4 linked regions of the Schizosaccharomyces pombe genome follow. The gene in region 1 interacts genetically with each later gene. Each region holds a gene or a part of one and is shown on either strand. Other genes may lie near its edges.

Region 1 (3,279 bases):
TTTAGCAAATGCAAATTGAGACGACGACAGCTAAAAGACCATTGCCCGGTATGACCATCAGTACTTTTGAAATAAACAGAAATCGGAGCATGTCGTCGGTTGACATACCACGTACCGCATCGTTCATTTACAACAGGTTTAAATGTGGGGTACGAAGCTATAACTGAGTCGACAAACTTGGCATCGTGTGCAATTGACAGCAACCGATTCTTTCTTGAAATTAGTGTTAGCCAAATTTTCCATTCGATGACATACAAATAAAAGAAAAGCAAGGCAAAAAGGAAAAACAAGTAAAAATCAGCAAAAATATATATCAGTACGAAATCCAACAAATGGCGATTAGGCTAAAAATTTTTCATGAAAATTTAATAGCAGCTATCCATCGTTTTTTCTTACAATTTGCATTAATTGCTTGTGCGTTTATAAAGGTAGCAATCATTTTCTAAGTCTTTTGATTCTGCCAGCTTATTTGTATAGCAAATTGAGACTTACGGGTGTCTTGCTTGAACATGAATTTGTTGCACAGCGTCTAAAGGGTCGAATTCGTCCATTCGTTTGGCAGATCACTTCTGTGAGAACTAGAAGTTGAGATATTTGAAGTGGTGGCAGTCACGGCAGAGGGAAGTGTTCGTATAGAATGGTGCTCCGGGCAGTACGGATTGGAATGGAGAGTACTACTTTTCGAATTTGTTTCTTTTGTATGAAAAACGAGACTCAAAAACCCCATATTGCGAAGGCTGGCAACGTATAAATTATGTTGGGTTGCAAAGTCCAGGATGTACAAATCGATCGCCCCAATTCTTTTACGATGAATACTGCCAAATACGAACTCCGAGATATAAATCGTTAAAACAGATAGAATTCCATCTAATAGATTTCCAATTGACCATGGACAGAAGGCTTCTCTCAGTTTCTCGTTTAATGTGTGAATGAATACATCCCAATCCTCAAGATTCACATAAGCTCGAAGAGGTACAGGATAATCGGTTGGAAATTGAGGATATTTATCTCCTGAAACCGAATAATCCCTTTCAATGCGAACAAGCATCGAAAAAACCTACTGAAATGAAGCTTGGTGGATTCCCTAGCTCTAGGTTCAAGTGTACAATATTAGAAGACGGATTAGAGAATATGTATAATGAAACTGGGATTCGGTAGAGCACAAGAAAAAAAATAAATAAACAGGAAAGTTATAAGTTAAACAACGTTAAAAATGACTAAAAAATTATAAAACACTCATGAGTTCATCGATTGATCATATAACCGGAACTAAACAAACAAACGTATTAAATGTCAGAATTGAGTGATTAATTGAGTGAATAGCTGTAAAATGGGCAATGATAACTCATTTTAAAAAATCATTATGATTAATTGAGTGAGTTTCAGATTTGAAACAAAAACCACACAGTTTGTCACTAGGTAATTTGAACGGATTTATAGTGAAAATTAAGATTGATAAAAGGATGTGGTTTTAGTTGTTGAGGAATTGAAAATTAATAAAACGTATTGCTCGTTCAGGAAGAGGATAAAAGCTCTCTACAGGATATATTTCATCTACGATAAAAGTTACTTAGAATGAACTGGAAAAACTACTTGGGAAAATAAATGTAATAAAATATAAAAAATATTCGACTGTATATTATATGAGCATTGACTCATATTACTTTAGTCGTTAGATGAGATAAAACTTTGACAACGAATGCGGGCTTTTTTGAAGTCCTTGCTCAGTCCAAGAAGAGCGTCTTAAATCAAGTTCAATAAACTTTTTTAGCTGCAAGGGAAGTTAGGTTGCTTTAAAGTACTCAGCTATCTAAAACTCATTGTGCTTGCTATTAAGTTAAGCGTTAAAGATCCTATTAGGCTTAATATCGTCTGCGTTCTATACGACTTGAAGCTTACTCGCTTCTAAAAGGAATATTCGTTTAAATAAAAGAAACATGCTAAATATATATCTATAGATTCTTACAACCAACTTTTCTTATCCATTTATGCAAGTTGAATTCATGATTTGAAGAAATTCCAAGAAAGACGATTAAAAAAGAACCCTCCTTTACGAAGATGAAAATTTAGTTTCTCATGATACCCATAACATAACTGTTTAAAGGAAATATGTATCGCATTACACTGTTTTGTTTTTTTTTTCCATAGGTAAACAATAGAAAAAGTGTTACCTGTCTCGAGTCACAGAAAATTCGTATGATCTACAATCGCAACCCCAAACTACTTACCATCTACCACCTAATCATTGAAAATTAAAAGATTGCTCTGCGATTGGTAATTGCTAGCATTTGTGATTCACCACTCCGTCTTTACCTATATTTAACTATACTTTGTCAATTTCCCCCTGTTTGATACTTTTTAATTGTTTTACTTATCCAGGATGTCTGAAACGTTCAAGCTTCCCGATCATGACGAACTTCCCCAGCTAGTTCAAACTACTCTTTTTGATGTTGGAGCCAGAGTGTAAGTTTAATCCAATTTTTTACTTTTAAACGTTGAATTATCCAAAATGCTGATTGTTCTGCTATCTTTTTTTGTAAGAGACAGGGCTTAAAGGTCTAAGTACTTTTTTGAAAACTTATAATACAATTGTACTGCAGCACGGCATTTGATGATTTAACTCTTTTTTAGTCTTTTTGTATAATAACTAACAATCATTTAGTCGCAAAGGTACGTGAATCAAATTTAAAAAAAAAAAATGAGTGGATTTGTTTATTAATACCTTAATCAAAAATTTCTATAAAGCACTCTTTCTTCATGTTTATACTTTTAATGGAAAACTGTTTTTATAGAAACTACTTCCTTTCTACCTTTTTTCCTGTTTAGATGAAAGCAGTTTTTACTAACTTTAGCAGCTGTTCAAACTGGTTACAAATTTGACCAACAACTTTTCCCTTCTTACCACAAGGATCAAACTGATAGAAATGAGCTTCCTCAGCAAAAACATGATCCTAATCTTCGTCTCGATGATTTGAAGCAAGAATTGGCTGCTGATTCTATTTTCTGGGATACCGCCTCCACTCAAGAAATCGCCGATTCTTTTGCCAAGCCTGATTTTCTCAAGTCTCATTAAATGAATAAATGAGCAAGATAAAGCTTTCGATACTATTGGGTAATATGTATATTTTCAATAGCATAAATCTTTGTTATTGAGATGAACTATTACTCAAAACTATGAAATTGAATTGAAGATAAAGATTTACTTAATTTATTTCTTCGACTTTGCTTTCTAGTTTTTGCTTGCTTATTGTAGTATTGTTTACTCATGAATATGCGGAC
Region 2 (5,427 bases), on another chromosome or scaffold:
GAAGCAGCGAACGGAAAGAAAGCATCAATGTTTCTTTACTTAAAAAGAGTTGAGCTAAAATACTGCAAGCCTTTAAACATGCCAAATAACACTCTGACACTGGAAAGCGATGCATTGCATCTTGTATAGATGATATTGAGATTTTCCAAACACAATACAGTTCATCGCTATCAATTTGCAAAATATTTGCTAACCCCGAAAACAATGAAATTAAAAAATTATTTACAAATAGAACTGGTCGCTTTGTAGATATACGGTGTAAGGCTGATAAAATGGCACTGTTCAGAGATATGAATTGTTGGGGACTTTCAAAGCCTCCATTTATCAAAAGTTCACAACATTTAAGGAACACCTCTCTTGGATTTCCGTTTTTGGCTAAGAAGTCCACAAACTCATCGGCCTCATTTTGTACTTTCCCAACATATGGAAGCACCATTCCTATAATGTCCCAGGAAATTTCGCGTGTTATATGGTCCTAATTGCAACATTATTAGGAGAATTCATATTTAATTACATGAATATTTTTACTTACATTCTTTTCTTGCTTCAATTCTTCATGTAGACACTTAATCAACTCTCGCTGCTCATCAATATCCTTTATTCGCGCTTCTTCCAATATCAATTCGAGTAGCGTTGAGTAGGTAATATAATCTTTGGTTTCAATGGCTACCTTGGCGGCACCTGGAATCGCTTCTTTCCAGTCCATTCTTCTTATGAATATTAAGGTGTGAGGTAAACGGACGAAAGATAATTTACGAGGCAGACTATATCAGAATTAAATGATTTTAAGATTATATTGTTCTACAAAAGATTTGAAAATATTAAAGGAATTCGAAGCAAGCTCATAAAAACTTAAATCACTGTTAACGTTCACGCTTCAAAAAATGCCAGAATCAATTAGCAAGCGTTGTAAGGCTTGATCTTCAGATTCACGTGGTTCTACAGTTAAACTTCTTTGATAGATGTTATTCGTGTTTCGCTCTCTCGATATAACTTCATTAAGAAGCTCTTGAACTTCGTTGATGGGATTAAACATGTACCCAACAGATTGAAACTTTTTTATCTCATTCAAAATTCTAGTGACTTTGGTGCGCTTATCGAAATTGATCATGTTTTGAAAGTTATCTTTATTTCCAGTTTTAAGGAAAGTCAGATCAGTGAAGTAAACACCTAAGAAAGGGACACATGGCAAGACACAGTTCTCCAGACAATCTCTATAATTACTGAAATTTTTCCTTGCCTCTGTCAAATTGTTTAGAAGCTCAAAACTAGCCAATGTTTTACTATTCAAATTTGCCCATGTCTTACGCAGCCGATGAATGGGTGAGGAATTTAACGCAGAAATGATGGAAAATAAACTAGCAAAATTGTTAAGCTCTCTCAAATAATCACAGACCTGAATAAAATATGCTAGCACATTGGTACGTCTGCGAGGTTCTTCTTCTTGCACGATGGTTTCGGTCACAAAGTTAACCAGATGATTCGACAAATAAAAGGTCGAAGTTTTTTCTTTGGGTGAGAATCTGTTAAGATTGTCCCAGATTTTAGTTAGGAACTGAATCCTTGATATGTGTGAAAATGATTGAAACTCTAAGATACATAACTGCTTTGCAATTTCACGAGGAGGTAGAAGTAAAACCAATTCATCCTTATATATAATTGGATCAGGGGAATTATGGAGAGAAAGATCCTCTAATTCTTGGGATAGCTCTTTTCCCTCTAGCATTTTATGTGATCTTTTTGTAGAGGGATGATGAAGTAGGTGTGATAAAGAATGCAATAATTCTTCAGCAGATGCAAAATGTGGAACTACAAAGACTTCAAAAACTTTATAAATTTTAAACAAAAAGAATATTGACTTGGAATTGTCCAACTCTTCAACAAGATACGATTCGAACCAAATAAGAAGTATATCCAAAAACCTCTTACTAACTCGGTAAAATTCGTGAGAAATAAAAGAAATTTTTCCAAAATTTAATGAGCAGATGAACCGAAAATGTGCTCCAAGTATGGAAAATAAATCTGAAGAACTGATCATACTAGCGTATGTGTTTAAAAAGATAGTAGTAAAAAATGTACTATCTATATCTGTCCTTAGAAGGTAATTTATAATGAACACTAAAGTGGCTGTTTTTATTTTTCCATCTTGTTCAATTTTACCATTACATGACCAAAATGAAAACAAAAGGTTTCGGATCAATAATGGCTCTGGTGAAGTCTGTTTCATTAAATAACAAACTAATCCTTTAGAGTCGAACCAGTTGGTTTTATTGAGGTCAAAACCATCAAGTTGGGACTTCTCCGCATCATTCAATTCTGGTTGGATATTTGTGAGGAATTTGTATTCTAGAGAAAGAAACACAATTCTTTCTGAAAATTGAACAATTATTGACTTGATCCGAAGAAGGGATACTTTCAAGGTTACTAGTAAATCAACAAAAAGGGAATAATTGTCCAGTAAACAATCGCTAGGTGAGATTTGCTCCAAGTCGATACTCCACAAATATAAATCACATAAGTTAGAAGACAGTTCATCCTTCAAGGCTTCAACATCTTGAGAAGTGAAAGAAAAAGGGTTATTTTCAGAGGAAGAATAATTTATTCTTTGATTTGCAGACAAGAATCGCCTACAACATTGAATGCATCTATCGATGTCCTCTAGAATATCTAGTTTCCAAGCTTCTAGTGCATCTTCCGCAACTAGCTGTAGTACTTTTTGGGTTGTATTTTCAGTTAGCTTCTGTGCTTCTAAATTCCAAAATTCATTCTCAGTGCAATGGTAAGCTTCGTGTGAAAGTGACAAAATTGCAACAAAGGAAGTAATATCAGGTTGGAGATTTGTATGTGCTGATTGTACAGAATTGGAACAGAGCATATTAAAATCCCATGGCAAGAAATGTATTTCATGCGCTATCAAAGAGCCCAAAAAGTAAGAAGGGAAGGAAACATCGGGCCTGAAGAAAAACAAAAACTTATTAGCCAATTGCTTCAAAAGCTTAGTAAATCTGATGCAAAGTTCACCATAAGTGCAACCCATTCGGCTCAACTCTGGCAATAAATTTAATGAGGAGAACACTTGCGCGACTTCTGAGAGAAAATTTTCATCTAATGTAGAAAGGATTATCAAGGGAAATGAAAGAACCATACTACGAACAGTTTCAATTCCAAAAACGATCACTTGAGTGCCTTCCTTTTTTATAGATTGTGACACAGCGGCAGCGGTGGTGAGAATCCCTTTTACAAGGTGGTGAATGTCATTTTGAAGATTTTTTCTTAAGAACTCTTCTGAAGAAGGGATACTATTTATCGCTTGCACTCCGTGTTTCTCAAACCATGCAGAATCTTGAAGATGAGCCTCTACGTGAAACGGCGCACAACATTGAGCATTTGGGTCTTTCTCATTCGATGAATGAAAACTTGAAAAAAAATTTTGAATTTTTGAAGAATCAATGCACGACGTGGGGAACCAACCTCGTTTTTCTGAGCAAATTCCGTCGCACCAACCGTCCTCGAGCACTTCTATAACTATGATAGTGTCTCCTGCAGAAAATTTTAAAAATGAAGGATTAGAGCTGTTCTCATAATCACTTATTGCGGTCGTTTGAAACCTCATTTTCGTAAGGGTCCATGAATGCTATCAATTCCACGATTCATTTATTTTTGAAAGAAAAGAGGAAATATACCTTCTTAAGTTATTTCAGTATTTTCCTGCTTTTAAAATAAAGAAAACACCCGTTTATTTAAAAAAAAAGCTTGTTTTCCCATTATTAGCCATTTTGGGAATTTCTTTGTTTACTAACAATGGGCTACTACAATAGAAATTACCTGTGAATTTGGCGCGTCGCGTTTTGTCACTACGCAACTGTAATATTACATACAGTATTTCACTAGACTATGTTGTCAATCACTTTCACAATGGACTCACCTAAAACCTGTGGGTATGCGACTATTCCGCAATACAGTAATACTTCGTTGTTTTCACTATTCAACCCTATCCTTCGCTATTCAATAAATACAGAAAGAAAAATGTTCTTCCTGAAAAATAAAACAGATTGTCCTTCTGGTAGCGTTTTTCTAAAAAAAAAAGTTGAATTCTTTTCTATTGATCCAAACTTGATGACTATTGTTAAAGGAATAGACCAGTGAATTTAAAAGCTTTTGCGACTATCCTTGACCGATTCATTTTAGGCAGTAAAAATACGCAAAAAAATTTTATGTATCGCTATATTTAAATACCGTATGTCATGATAGTCGACTCCACTTTATTATAGTGTATTGCAATTATTTCGTTATAGTACCAATATAATACGGCAATTTAATACGCTATACACATCATGCCCACCTATAAACTGCCCATGACATAGGGTTCACCGAATTCACCGACAAGTTCAACAAATGTTTTTTCCCACGGATGTAATCGTGCCAATTGCCATTAACCAGCTTCAATTGAGCTAGTTCTATGAATTGAGCTGTTAGGTGGAATTCTCCAATTATAAAAGATATTGTAGTAGTTCATGAAGTGTTTGAAGCGGATTTTAGTTGGAACTTACAAAAATTAAAGGATAACTCTATCCATAGGTCCTGTTGAGACTTGTTACGTAAAATTAGAAAAGATTGGAAATTGTATTGTAATTTGTGAATTTACCATTGTTTGCCTAATATGACTGCACTATTTAATTTCTGGCGCATTATGTATGCGAATATTTCGTCCATTTGGCTACTGGTGGTTTCATTTTTTGAATGGTTATTTTCCGCTACGTCGATATCGCAGCAGCGTGGTTCCGGCCCTCGAAAGGGAAAGGTAGTTATGAACAAGGATTGTCGTTCTTGGGAGGATTGGAAAGTTTTGGCTACGACGATTGACAAGGCGTCGGGGCGTTGGAAATGGCGCTTTACTCCTGCCTCGGACAAGTACGACTATCTATTGATTGATCGATGCACGGTCTCCTTAAAACGATACCGCCAGAGGAAATCTGTCTATCCCATGTTAATGTTCTTGCGCTCTAGCTTACTTCGTAACTTTGGCAACATTGGCAATTCCTCTCTGTATACCGAGAATTACTCGGGTACAAAAATTTTGATTGAAGAGTATGTACGTGAGGTCAACAATTGTTTAGAGTTTTTATATCACACTAAAAGGCTTTCCTACGACGTTAAGTGCGATTTTTTTTCCGCTGCCCGAATTTCCTTCGGTACTACCTGTTTGTATTTCAACGGCGGCACTGCGTTTGGTCTATATCACTTTGGGGTAGCTAAGACCCTTTGGAAACGTAATTTGCTTCCTCAAATCCTTGCAGGATGCGCATCAGGTGCGTTGATTGCATCGCTTTTGAGTGTCTATCGTGATGAAGAATTGAATGGTTTGTTTGATACTTTCCCCAGCGAACTGTGGAAAATATGTCAGCAAACATCTGACTATTCTCTTTC
Region 3 (7,535 bases), 1.8 Mb from region 1:
ATATCCACCCCTAACATTTCCAGCTACTTTTGTTAGTAACTTTATAAATAAAGTTGAACGAACATATGCAAGCTTTAAGATTGCTTCTGATTTAAGATCTGCATCCTGCGATGTCGCTTCTTTTCGACATTCTAGTAAACAAGTCGCAATAAATGCTTCCTCATCATTTGCATGAGATCTTATCCCTTTAATTAGGTCAATTAGTGTCCTTTCAAACACCATGACAATTTATAATTCAACAGTCAGTTAAATATATCCCAAAGCCGGCTTTATGCAGTTTGCTCTCTTAAGACTATATCGCAATGTATCCTTGACGAAAAGGAATTATCGAGCTGAAGCAGCAATCGTTAATTAGTTATATCGCGTAGCAGTGAATTAGCTAACGCAGTTGAGAAAAATAAATTGCAATGAGTTTTATTAATAATTATTGTAATTTGATATAAAGTATGTCTCCAAAGATAATCAGTGTTATTTTAATAGTAATAAACAATTTTGTTTAACTATAATTGAATATGATGCTAAAAGAACTTACGTTTCATAGTTCAAATAGTCCTGTTCATTTTTATTAAAAAAAAAAAGATAACTTAATAACAACGAGTGTATATTCGTAGCACAAACGTATGTTCATTCTATAGTTATAGTTATAAATTAACATCGCATTTAATAGCCCAGTAACATCGCTGATATCAATGAAAAACAAAGACAATATGTTTTAATCCAATACCCAGAATGAGAAATGCGACCTTTCTTGCTATATTAATTTCTAATATTTACATAGGTTTGTATTTAAAAAAGTGGTTATAATTAATACAACAGTACAATGTTAAATTAAGTATAAGTTTCCTGTAATTCGGACTCTAAGTGTTTGCACAATCTAACCAGTGAAAACCAACTAATGCTTCGTGCTTTGCTTTAATAACAGATGAATAATTGAACAGTATTGAGCGAAGGGGTACTTCAGGATTAACCATACATCACTGTCACCAATAAGTAGTACAGTATTGCCGTTTATTCTGTTTAAACCTGACCTATCAGCATCATTCTCTAAAATCAATTTTTTCATGTTCATGAATCCTCTGTGGTGAGCCGCTTTAAAGCCATTTTAAGACAATCTTTAATTTCTGCGGCATCAACTTGTTCTCCGCCGCTGCTAGCTTCAGTAGTGCGATTGATATTACCAACTAGCGGTACATCCAAACCTAGTTTGTCAAGCTGCTCATGTTTGGTCAATGAAAGATTTAAAATATGACCTTCAACAGTATCTTCCACAATGTAGTAGTAAACAAACGTCGGACGAGTTTGCCCAATTCGATGAACGCGTGAAATTGCTTGCATTTCAATTCCACTATTTAGTAATGGTTCACCTGTCAATGTTAAAACTTGTTAATACAGATATCGACGTACACATGAAAACGTGAGTGGCATTTGTTAACGTCAAACCAGATCTAATGAAGATTAGAACAAATAATTAAACAGTTTAAACATACGATTGCGATCTTGCATGTAAAGTAAGTACTTGTAAGCTACGTTCTTCTTTAAACCTTTTTAGGCAAGTGTTCTTTGACTTTCCATCAAAACGTATGAAGACGATACCATTCGCTTCAAATGACTTGTGCAAAACATCCAAAACATCAAGCCATTGAGAGAATACAACAACTTTAGGATAAAGTTCGTTATGTTTCAAATACTAAAGTTAGATCCACTCTAAATACAAATGTTGCTTACCAAAAGATGTTTAGATATTGTGTCAATTTTTGATCCAAATGACTCCTTTAACTCCATATTAGAAATTTGCCTGTATGCTTCATCGTCGAGAATTTCAAGCCTTTCGTCTCGTTTGTTGAAACCAGTGACAAACTCTTGACGAGAGTATATATCCCTACTTTCGCCAATATAGTAAGCATTATTTTTGTTCAATTTGGTTTTGCACATTGGACACGACGAACTATGCTTCAACCACGCTTCCAAACAAAAACTACAGTACAAATGGCCTAACAAGTTAACTAGATAAACGATCCAACAAATACTTACCACAAGTTGTTATAAAACCTTGCTTAATTATATCACGACAAATTATACAAATCTGATGAGATTCAGCTTTAAGGACAATATGTTCATATAGGTTTGTTAAATACCTTCTCCTTGATTCGAAGTGAGCAATTTTACGTTGGGTATTGCTTTTTTCCTCTTCTAGCTCTCGCAGCAGATGGATATGTCCAGGTATATTCATTTCGGATATTTTTTGATTGACGAGTTCTGCTACGTTTGTTGTTTGACTTGCTTCGTCCTGCTTTTCTGAAATTTCTTTTTCCAAAATCACCGAAGCTTTAATTATAACAGAGTTCAAAAATTTTTGTTTTTTTTCGTCGTCTTTAACGTAATTGTTTAAACTGATATTTGAAACGGGAGGAGGCATCAAAGAGTCAGAAATTTCCTGCAGCTGTTTATAGTACTCAATCCTTGAATTATAAGTCAACTGAATTATACTCAATTCTTTTTCCAATTTTTGGCAAATTCTAGATTGCTCCTTTGCCATTGCATCAATCCGTTCATATTCTTCCATGTTTTTAGAAGTTTCAAAACTTGAGGTGGATCTATTTGATGCATCTAACAGTCTTGAAACTATATTTATTAATGATCCGTATTGATCTGCTTTTGGCCTTGCTTCTTCCCTTTCCTCAAAGTAAAGCAAATATTTTTTATCACGTTCTTCAGCCTGCTTGTCTAACGATTTCTCCGATTTTTTTATACTCTCTATAAGTTTGTATTTCTCAAGTTCTGTTTCATGAGACACAAAGGTATTAATAGTACCGCTGACTGCCGCTACTCGATCTGAAAGCATTTGACGGTAAACATCAATACAATAGGATATCTCTGATTGCGCATTCAATGATTCTTCGTATTCATCGCCGGTCGGATCCGATTCTTGATCCAGAAGTGGAAGTTTCATCAAATGGATAAGCCGATCTCTAAATTTTATAAGCACCTCCTTTTGATCATTCAACTCTTTATAAAGTCTATTATAGTCTTCAATTATACCATGTCCGGTTATGAGACCTTTTGCGTAAGATTTCTGTAATCGTGGTATTTTGACAAGTTTCTTTGGAATAAATTTTTCTGAAAACTCTTCAAGGTGCTTGCTGGTTTTGATAATCACATCACTCATAATCTTCCTTCTTAAATCCTGCGCGAGCAAATAAAATTCATTTTCAAACTTTTCGTTTTTTAAAGAAAAATAAGCGCTTGCTATAAAAAAGTATATTTTATGCAATAGAACATACCAAACACGCAGATGAATGAAATGATCCAAACCAAAATAATTAATCGGTAAATTTTTACCATGGTCCTCATATTTAGAGTTGTAAATAACATTTTCTAATTCTTTGACAGCGAGCTCGACAGGTATTCTGACTTCAGACCAAATAGCCAATGCTTTATTATAGTCTTTAATATGATCATATATTTGACCAACAATAATCTTATCGGAATAAAGCTTCCTGTTTAACGAGGAGAATGTAGAGTTTGTTTGTTCCAACATAAAAACTAATACATCATTAATGCTTTTCATGGGTCCACCTCCAAATGCGGATTTGTTACCAAATCCAACCTGCGGATGGCAACATGCCTGTCGTAAACGAACCAACCAACGCCTCATAGATTCTTCGTCACACAAATCCAAATTTCTGTCTTTGAAAAAGTGCAAAGACTTGGCCGCCTCTGATAATAAATCCTGGTAGTTCGTTTCTTCTACTACACTAAGTCTTGTAGTCATGCAGATTCGATGTTGAGGAGGTAATTTTAATTCTTCTTCAACGTCCTGTTTAGAATGTCTGCATACAAGGGAGCCAAACAGATCGCAAAATTCACGAACACGTTTCTTCTCTATAATTTGCATCCAAGCTTGTTTTTTGTATAAATACATAGGGGAGTAGCGAAGAAGAAATAAAAGGCCAAAAAGGTCATCAACTTCACTACGTACGGGAGTTCCACTTACAGTCCAACAATTGACACGAGGTATGCGATAAATCATTTGTGCGACATTACTCTGTGAAGTTTCAACCATCTGAGCTTCATCAACACAAATTCTCCACCAACATACATCAATCAATGGAGACTTTGGAGAAACATGTCGCTTTTCATGTCTTAAGGTCCTGGAATGAGATTCAGTGTACAATAGCTCAAACCGTAAATCAGAATAAGATGTTACCACTATATCACAATCCAAAAAAATTTTAGCTGATTTCAAACCATTGGATTTTCGGATTCCTTGGTAATGGAATACTTTCAATGATGGCACATGCAAATCTATCTCAGATAACCATTGATCGAGAATTGTAGAAGGCGTAATTATTAGGGTGGCCTTGGAATACTTTACATTTTTTCCGACGACCTGATCGAAAGTACAAGTATCAGTCAAAGAAATTGGCAACTGATGATGCAAAACTAATCCTAAGACTTCCAAAGTTTTTCCCATGCCCATTTCATCGGCTAAAATGCCTCCACGTATATCACCGGACGCAAGCAAATATGTTTTTTCTTTCGAAAATGTCATATAGCCGTAAACATGATTAACGTAAACCATTCGATCATCAAAAAGACTTTTGCAATGGTACCATAGAGGTGGTAAATCATTTGAGGTTAGGAATTTCTCTTCTTCTCTTCGTTTCATCCATTCTAAAACACGCATTTGAAATGGTAAAAGTTCCGAAGAAAGCCTTGGATCGCGTGATACATTGGCGAAACGTAGGCTTTTTGCCAATTTTCTTGCACAATCGTAAAATAGTGCAGTGTTAATATCTAAACAAGAATATTCCTCATCTTCAGACGGAAGGAACGTATAGTCTAGTAAAGCAGTGTATGAGGAAGATGATCCAGATGAAAGAATCGCATCTTGAGGGGCAAGAAAAGAGTCGAGTATGGAAATGCCAAACGACAAAATTAACTCGGATCCTTTTACAGTAACATAAGATGTGTATTTTATAATTTTCTTCAGCCGCCTATTATCCTCCCAAAGCTTACTCCAAATTTTGAGAGGTGCTTTTAAAGCAGAGTAAGTATCCTTATTCAAGTCGACAGAAAACAAAGGAATCAAGTTTTTGGCCAATGAAATTTTTCTTTGAGTAAAACTATATGCATGTAGTTTCTCAGATCCATCAACCCAAAAAACGACAGGATAAATAGTAGACTTTAGCCGATTTAACTCGTCCTCTGGTCCACGCCATATCTGCTGGTCTAGCTTGAGTTGGTGCTGGAATGCACGGTAGCAATTGGCGAAATCACTTTCCAAAAGGTTGTTTCTTTCATTTAGTAAGGAAGCCTCCTTCTCTATTTTTCGCCTCTTAGTTCGGTCCATAATGTTCCCTCTCTTAATTAAATACAGTCGTGTTTTGAACCAATAGACTTAAAAATTTTAGAATGAATAGAATTCTTTAATGTACAAAGAAATAAACGAAAATATATAAACCCTCAAGAACACAAAAGGGTAGGCATTGTGTTATGTGCTTTTGTTCTTAGTTGTGGGCAAAAAGTGTCTTGATTAAAACATGTGCCACTTTTTTTTTGCTAAAGCTTGCAGAGTCGAATATTACTTTGGTATTTTTTCCCCACCTTTCTTCCCTCTTTTTTTTTTTGGTTTAAAAGTACGACAAGGTAAATATCGATAAATCGTTTGTAAGGGAATTCTATTATTCACGGTTGAATCAGTACAAACACGAATTAGAACTCAAAATTACCTAAGAAATAACATCTACGTTAATTAGTAAGTAAATTGTAAATACTATTAAAATTACCGATACACTTAATATCTCATTTGCTGGCTAAAAGAAAGAGCCCTTTTTACTCGGTATTGTACAAACACACTATTCCTTATTGCTAAAACACTGTGCTCATCCTTTAAGTATATATCGATTACCAAGTTTAATTCAATTAGCAAAAAAATATAAATTCTAAATAAAACGTAAACTGGTAGGAAAGTTTTTAAAAGTGATGTCACCTTCACTGGACAAAGATTATTGTTATTGTCATAAACTAAAGTACAAAATATAAACTAAAGATTGTATACATATTAAAGAAATATCCTAGTTTGAAGGATTCTTGTCGTCGCAAATATTGTTAAACCAAACTGCGTTTACCGTATTACATTGCAATTCGATTTGTTAGACTATTATGTCAATAAGACAAACGCTAAACTAAGGTTAATTCTACTAGTGTGTAATATTTTTTTATGTACGCACACATTGCAAAATTGAACTTACCCTTAACCAACAACACGATTGGGAATTAGCAGAAAACAGTGACAAGTGGGTAAGAAAAAGAATCTGGAAGGATAAACGCTCTTTTTGCGCGACCACCAAAAGTATATAAAAGTGCAAATTTCCGTCTACGTCTCCTATTTAAGACAATCTCTCGAATAAGGACTTTTTGATCAACAGCAGATTTCAAATCATTGATTGATTTGAAATAGTAAAATTATTGTAAAGCGAGCAGTTGACAAACAAAACGTTTGTTTAGCTTGTATCCGAAGAAAAATTATTCAACGATTCAATTTAGTGATCTCGGAATTTCTAGAAGAGAAAAAGCTTACTTACACGATGCCTGCTATTATGGAAAAGAATATGCTCGTCAGCGAGTCGTTGCGTACGACGGAATTACTTGGCCATGTTAAACCAATTGACTCAGTGGTGACATGGTCTTCGCCTGGATCGTCTCGCCAGGCGATTGGTGAGGCGTTTAAAAACACGATTGAGGAAATTGAGCGTGCAGCTGTCCGTGGTGAACCCGCTGACTCTGATGCATTTTTTGTTGCTGATTTGAACGGAGTATATCGCCAACTTCTTCGTTGGCATGCTAAATTACCTCGTGTTCAACCATTTTATGCAGTCAAATGTAATCCTGATCCTAAGGTACTTGCATTGCTTAATAAATTTGGAACTGGTTTTGACTGTGCTTCTAAGGGTGAACTCGAACAAATTCTTGGCTTAGGTGTATCCCCTGATCGAATTGTATACGCCAATCCTTGTAAAGCCATAACTTATGTGCGCTATGCTGCTTCTAAAGGCATTAATCTGATGACTTTTGATAATGCCGATGAGCTGTACAAGGTGAAACAACATCATCCCAACTCACGTCTTCTTCTTCGTATTTCTACCGATGATTCCAATAGTCTTTGCCGTCTCAGTCTAAAGTTTGGTGCTTCTCTCGATGATACTGGTAAGCTGCTAGACATCGCAAAGTCCCTGGAGTTAAATGTCGTCGGTGTTAGCTTTCACGTTGGGTCAGGAAGCTATGATCCCTCAGCATTTTTGGATGCTATCCAACGATCTCGTCAGGTATTTGATCAGGGACTTGAAAGGGGATTTAATTTTGACTTGTTGGACATTGGTGGTGGTTTCATGAATGACAGCTTTGATGGCGTAGCAGACCTTATTCGCTCTGCCTTGGATACTTATTTTGATCCCTCCATCCGTGTTATTTCTGAGCCCGGTCGCTTTTTCGTCTCTTCTTCGTTTACTTTGGCTGTCAATGTAATTGCCAAA
Region 4 (3,984 bases), 1.9 Mb from region 1:
TGTGTGGATATTCTTTTCGTTCACTTTTTTTTTGTCGTTATTGGTGTTGAATAAATCAAACCTGAATTTTGTTTTGATGAGAACTAAATTTTTTCGATCACGATTATTTTCTTAATTGTTATTTTAGGAGTCATAAGTAGACCATCTTAGTTTGCTGAAAGTTTTTCAGCGACTTTAAAACTTTAATTGGATGAGAAATGTAATCGGTAATTCTTTCATTCTGGAAAGTATACTGCAGAATCTCATATATACATATATATCATAATTCTTATACTAGTAAAATGTTTGTGATTGATTCAATTAATATTTTATGGTTAGGTTTCAAAAGAATGTTTTGTTTTTATTATTGTTTAATTCATTTTTTTGTCCTCATTAAAAATTCTTTTGGTAGAGTCATTACTAAGTTTTTGCTTCGTAGACTACATGAAAGAAGCTGGTGAGGCGAAGTAATATTATGATTCAATACTACCTAAGATATAGCAAACATCAAAAGGGTACAAAATTCTAGGAAATCATCTGGCAACGTTAGATATCAATATGTAAATAGAAATAGAAAAACATGTAAATCTAATTACATACTAAGTCAATAAATGGAAAGGAGTCTGGTAATTTTTGATTAATTAGCAGTGGTTTACAAACGAATAGTTACTAGTTATTGCAAATCAAAATTAGTGTCGATGACATGTGTAAGCTTGACATTCATTTTATTTCAAAATAGAAAAGTAAAGATAAGAGCAAAATTTTCATTTCGTATACGAAACTAGCAAACAACTACAACGACGTGAACAGCAAAAACGAGTGTATTTGAAGTAAATTATTTGTGAGATGATAGTACCAATCAACCCAACTGAACAAACAACGTTTCAAAAGGGAGGTGGTAAGAAATTGCAAAGCAAAAAAAACAAGTCATTTGAAAAGAAAGGAGTGAATGACTAGATGCGAGACTTCCAAATTTTCTGGATTTATCGTTCTAAAAGAATAAACCGAAAAAAAACAAACTTGGGAATGCTAAAGAGACTCGAAATGTAAATTAGCAAAAAGTTTGCAAAGGATATATAAAATCGCTCACATTGTTCCTTTATAGCAACTGAAGGTAGAGCGGGTAAATAATGCATGTAATACCAACCATAGAAATAGAAATACGTGACCAAAAGAGTAAAACCAACGGGGAAAAATGAAATGGGAATGATGAAAACGAAAAAAAAAAGTAAAATCTTTTCAGAGACAAACTCTTCTGAGTCTAGATATGTTGTTTAATGGTTCTTCTTAGCAGAGTTAGCGATGTATTCTCTATCATCATCACCTTCAACTTCATTACGAATAGCCTCGTACTCCATCAATTCGACACGAAGAACATCCTCGTTTTGGCGAAGATCTTTGTCAAACCATGCCTCATCGGGGGCCCGGAAAGAGTTGCCGAGGCGATCAAAGAGGGTGGTGAATTGGCCGTAATTGTAGTTGAAATAAATGTGATGGCCATTATGGTGAGCAGCACCATTGATGATGGGGTTGTTGGAGATGTATTTACCATCGTGAATCATGATGGACCAGAAGTTGACAAAGGTGAAAAGAGCCAAGTAGGTCAACTTGTGAAGGGGAAAGAAAAAGGGGAAAAGATGGTAAGGAAGAGATTGTAAGAAGCCATCAGCGGATTTGAAAGCATGGGATGCATATGGAGTGCAGATAATCCACTTATGATGGAGTTTGTGAAGACGAGGGTATACATAACGGTGATGAAGGAAACGATGAGCCCAGTAAATGCCAAAATCTGAGAACATGACAAAAAGAGGTAAGGAACATAAGAAGTATTTTAAACCGTAATCACTGATGTTGTCGTATAAGTAGCTGTACCCATGCAACTCAGCCAAAAACCACGGAACCGTCAATAACGCCATACCAGGTAAGTTTTGTAAAGCCGTTAGAACTTCCATGAACACCTGGTTTTTTAAGAACTTTGGGTGATCCATCAGACTTTTATCAAACACAAATTGGTAGGAAAGCGACGCAAATGTTAAATACAAGAACATACCGCCAAACCAAGTTAAAAAAAACAAACTGATCGACTGTCTAACGATATTGTCGCGAGCTAATGGATATACAGCATTGTATATCGAATCCAGCGCATATTGGTCAGCATAGTTGAGTAGGTAGTCCATTGAGGTGTTTGCTTAAAATCTATTGACCGGTGGTAGCGTATAAGAAGTACCAAAAAATGGTCTGATTTTGATTGCGATATCTAGTTGGCTGCTATTAATTAGTCAATAGGAAACCGAGTTATCTTTTTCGTTAAAGTTTTTATCAAAAAACAAAGAGGTGGCTTATACACTTCGGTTAGTGAGAGGTAGATAGGGCAGATCGGAAAGGACATCACTGTGGCGGGAAGAATCTCTTACACTTACTATGTGGGGGAATAGTACTACGGGGGCTCGCTATTCAACAAGTACAACGAGGTTGGACATGAATGTTTGATATCGAGCAAGTGGGTATATATTAGTCGAAAATAATCAACTTTACGATACAAGATCTAATCTTAAAACTATTATAAGTAAATGAGATGAAAAATTAAATAAGAAAGATAAAAAATTGAAAAAAGAAGGTTAACATTCCTCCATCTCGGGTTTGTTCTCAAAGGCTTAGAGGTTACGCTAGATTGCTATTCTTAGACTTGGACTAATTTGGTACCCCCATTTTGTTCTTTTTAATCCACTTGCATTTGTAAGTCTAGGAACGATAATGGTATTTCTCAAGAGTATGCAATATGTTGCTGATGTTTTAAGACGATAAATACGCAGTTAGAACATAGTCGTTTAAAAAAAAAAAAAAATAAATAAAGTAAAATAATAAAATTATTTAAAAACAAAAATTTTGGACAAGCCAGAACTCGAATCTGGGACCTCTTCCATGCTAAGGAAGCGTGATAACCATCTACACCACATGCCCATGTTGAAATACTCGCATATAATATAGTATATAATTTACATACTTTACATTTTCATTATATCTTAAATACAACACTTTTAAAATGGAAATAGCGATTATTCAGAAATCATAATGTTGCTCGCGCATAAAGTAAACATACAAATAGTAGCTTGTAGCCCAATTTTTTTTTTAAAAAAAAAAAAAAAAAAAAAAAAAAAAAAACTAATGAGATAAAACATTTATTACTTAGTTTTAAGAAATAACAAGAAAAGCTCGAATGGCTTGGCAAACCAGGAAACGCCTGCGAATTCCTGAAATTTTCGTAATATTATTCGTGCCCTTGATTAGGGAAATCATTCATCTAACATTTTAGATAAACAAAAGACAGTGACTATTCGCCATCCCTAGTCTTTCACAAGCTCAATAGAAATCGACTTGTAAAGATAGAAAAGGAATCAATAGGCAGCAGTCAATCAGAAAACAAGTGTGGTATTTATTTACTTTTTTTTCTTTTCTTATTCTCTTCAGGCGTCATACTGTAGAAAAATCTGTAACGAAGAAGTATACATGTCCAATCAAAGCACTAATTAAATCAAGCAGTGGAAAGATCCCAGTTCGTAACCAGCGCAATAATACCATTACCCATGGAACATAAGGTGCTTTTACGTCGAAAAGACCTAGTATCGAGATTCTGTACAGTGGATGTTTCCACGACCATATGTATAACATGGTAAATGAAAAGTAAGAAGCTGCAAATGGCATGTAGGAAAAATAGGAGGTAACTAAAAGAGAAAACCATACTATCAATACCGTTTTTAAGAAGCTCTGTGTTTGAGGCGGCGGACTAGATCTTTCTAACATACTCATGAAACGAAGTAGAAACGACAAATATAAAATCAACTCTAATCCAAAAGGCCCAACATAAAGGAATGTAGTTATTGCCCTCCAGTACTAAATAAATCTTGTTAACAAGCTAGAATTAGGGAAATCACATGTTATGTCAAACATTACTTCAATCACAAACCGTACCTCCCCTTTTGCTAAAAACAGTTTCCAATTAAAAAA

Evidence for each region.
Region 2: mutations in erf4 (region 1) and ste6 together harm fitness more than expected from each alone (negative genetic interaction), as found in Schizosaccharomyces pombe (one large-scale study listed by BioGRID).
Region 3: mutations in erf4 (region 1) and irc20 together harm fitness less than expected from each alone (positive genetic interaction), as found in Schizosaccharomyces pombe (one large-scale study listed by BioGRID).
Region 4: mutations in erf4 (region 1) and erg31 together harm fitness more than expected from each alone (negative genetic interaction), as found in Schizosaccharomyces pombe (one large-scale study listed by BioGRID).

What each region holds. Positions count from the first base shown.
Region 1 is NC_003424.3:2,828,137-2,831,415, forward strand, and holds erf4 (palmitoyltransferase complex subunit Erf4), read right to left. Parts: upstream 1,049-3,279; coding exon 530-1,048; downstream 1-529. Other genes in the region: rit1 (initiator methionine tRNA 2'-O-ribosyl phosphate transferase), read right to left, coding at 1-213, 493-551; spd2 (ribonucleotide reductase (RNR) inhibitor family), read left to right, coding at 2,381-2,463, 2,663-2,670, 2,856-3,073. UniProt on the Schizosaccharomyces pombe protein: The erf2-erf4 complex is a palmitoyltransferase with a major role in driving sexual development. Palmitoylates ras1. Palmitoylates isp3. Palmitoylates rho3.
Region 2 is NC_003421.2:1,764,272-1,769,698, reverse strand, and holds ste6 (RasGEF Ste6), read right to left. Parts: upstream 3,614-5,427; coding exon 878-3,613; 3' UTR 728-877; downstream 1-727. Other genes in the region: ubiquitin-protein transferase inhibitor Glm2, read right to left, coding at 1-475, 533-706; triacylglycerol lipase Ptl1, read left to right, coding at 4,661-5,427.
Region 3 is NC_003424.3:4,657,074-4,664,608, reverse strand, and holds irc20 (ATP-dependent DNA helicase), read right to left. Parts: upstream 5,513-7,535; 5' UTR 5,354-5,512; coding exon 2,032-5,353; intron 2,013-2,031; exon of another isoform or gene 1,992-2,012; coding exon 1,726-1,991; intron 1,688-1,725; coding exon 1,488-1,687; intron 1,446-1,487; coding exon 1,405-1,445; intron 1,365-1,404; coding exon 1,066-1,364; 3' UTR 766-1,065; downstream 1-765. Other genes in the region: AP-3 adaptor complex subunit Apl5, read right to left, coding at 1-23, 64-222; ornithine decarboxylase Spe1, read left to right, coding at 6,591-7,535.
Region 4 is NC_003424.3:931,799-935,782, forward strand, and holds erg31 (C-5 sterol desaturase Erg31), read right to left. Parts: upstream 2,171-3,984; 5' UTR 2,157-2,170; coding exon 1,254-2,156; 3' UTR 627-1,253; downstream 1-626. Other genes in the region: SPOM_SPAC1687.17C (Der1 family protein), read right to left, coding at 3,451-3,870, 3,949-3,984. UniProt on the Schizosaccharomyces pombe protein: C-5 sterol desaturase; part of the third module of ergosterol biosynthesis pathway that includes by the late steps of the pathway. Erg31 and erg32 catalyze the introduction of a C-5 double bond in the B ring to produce 5-dehydroepisterol.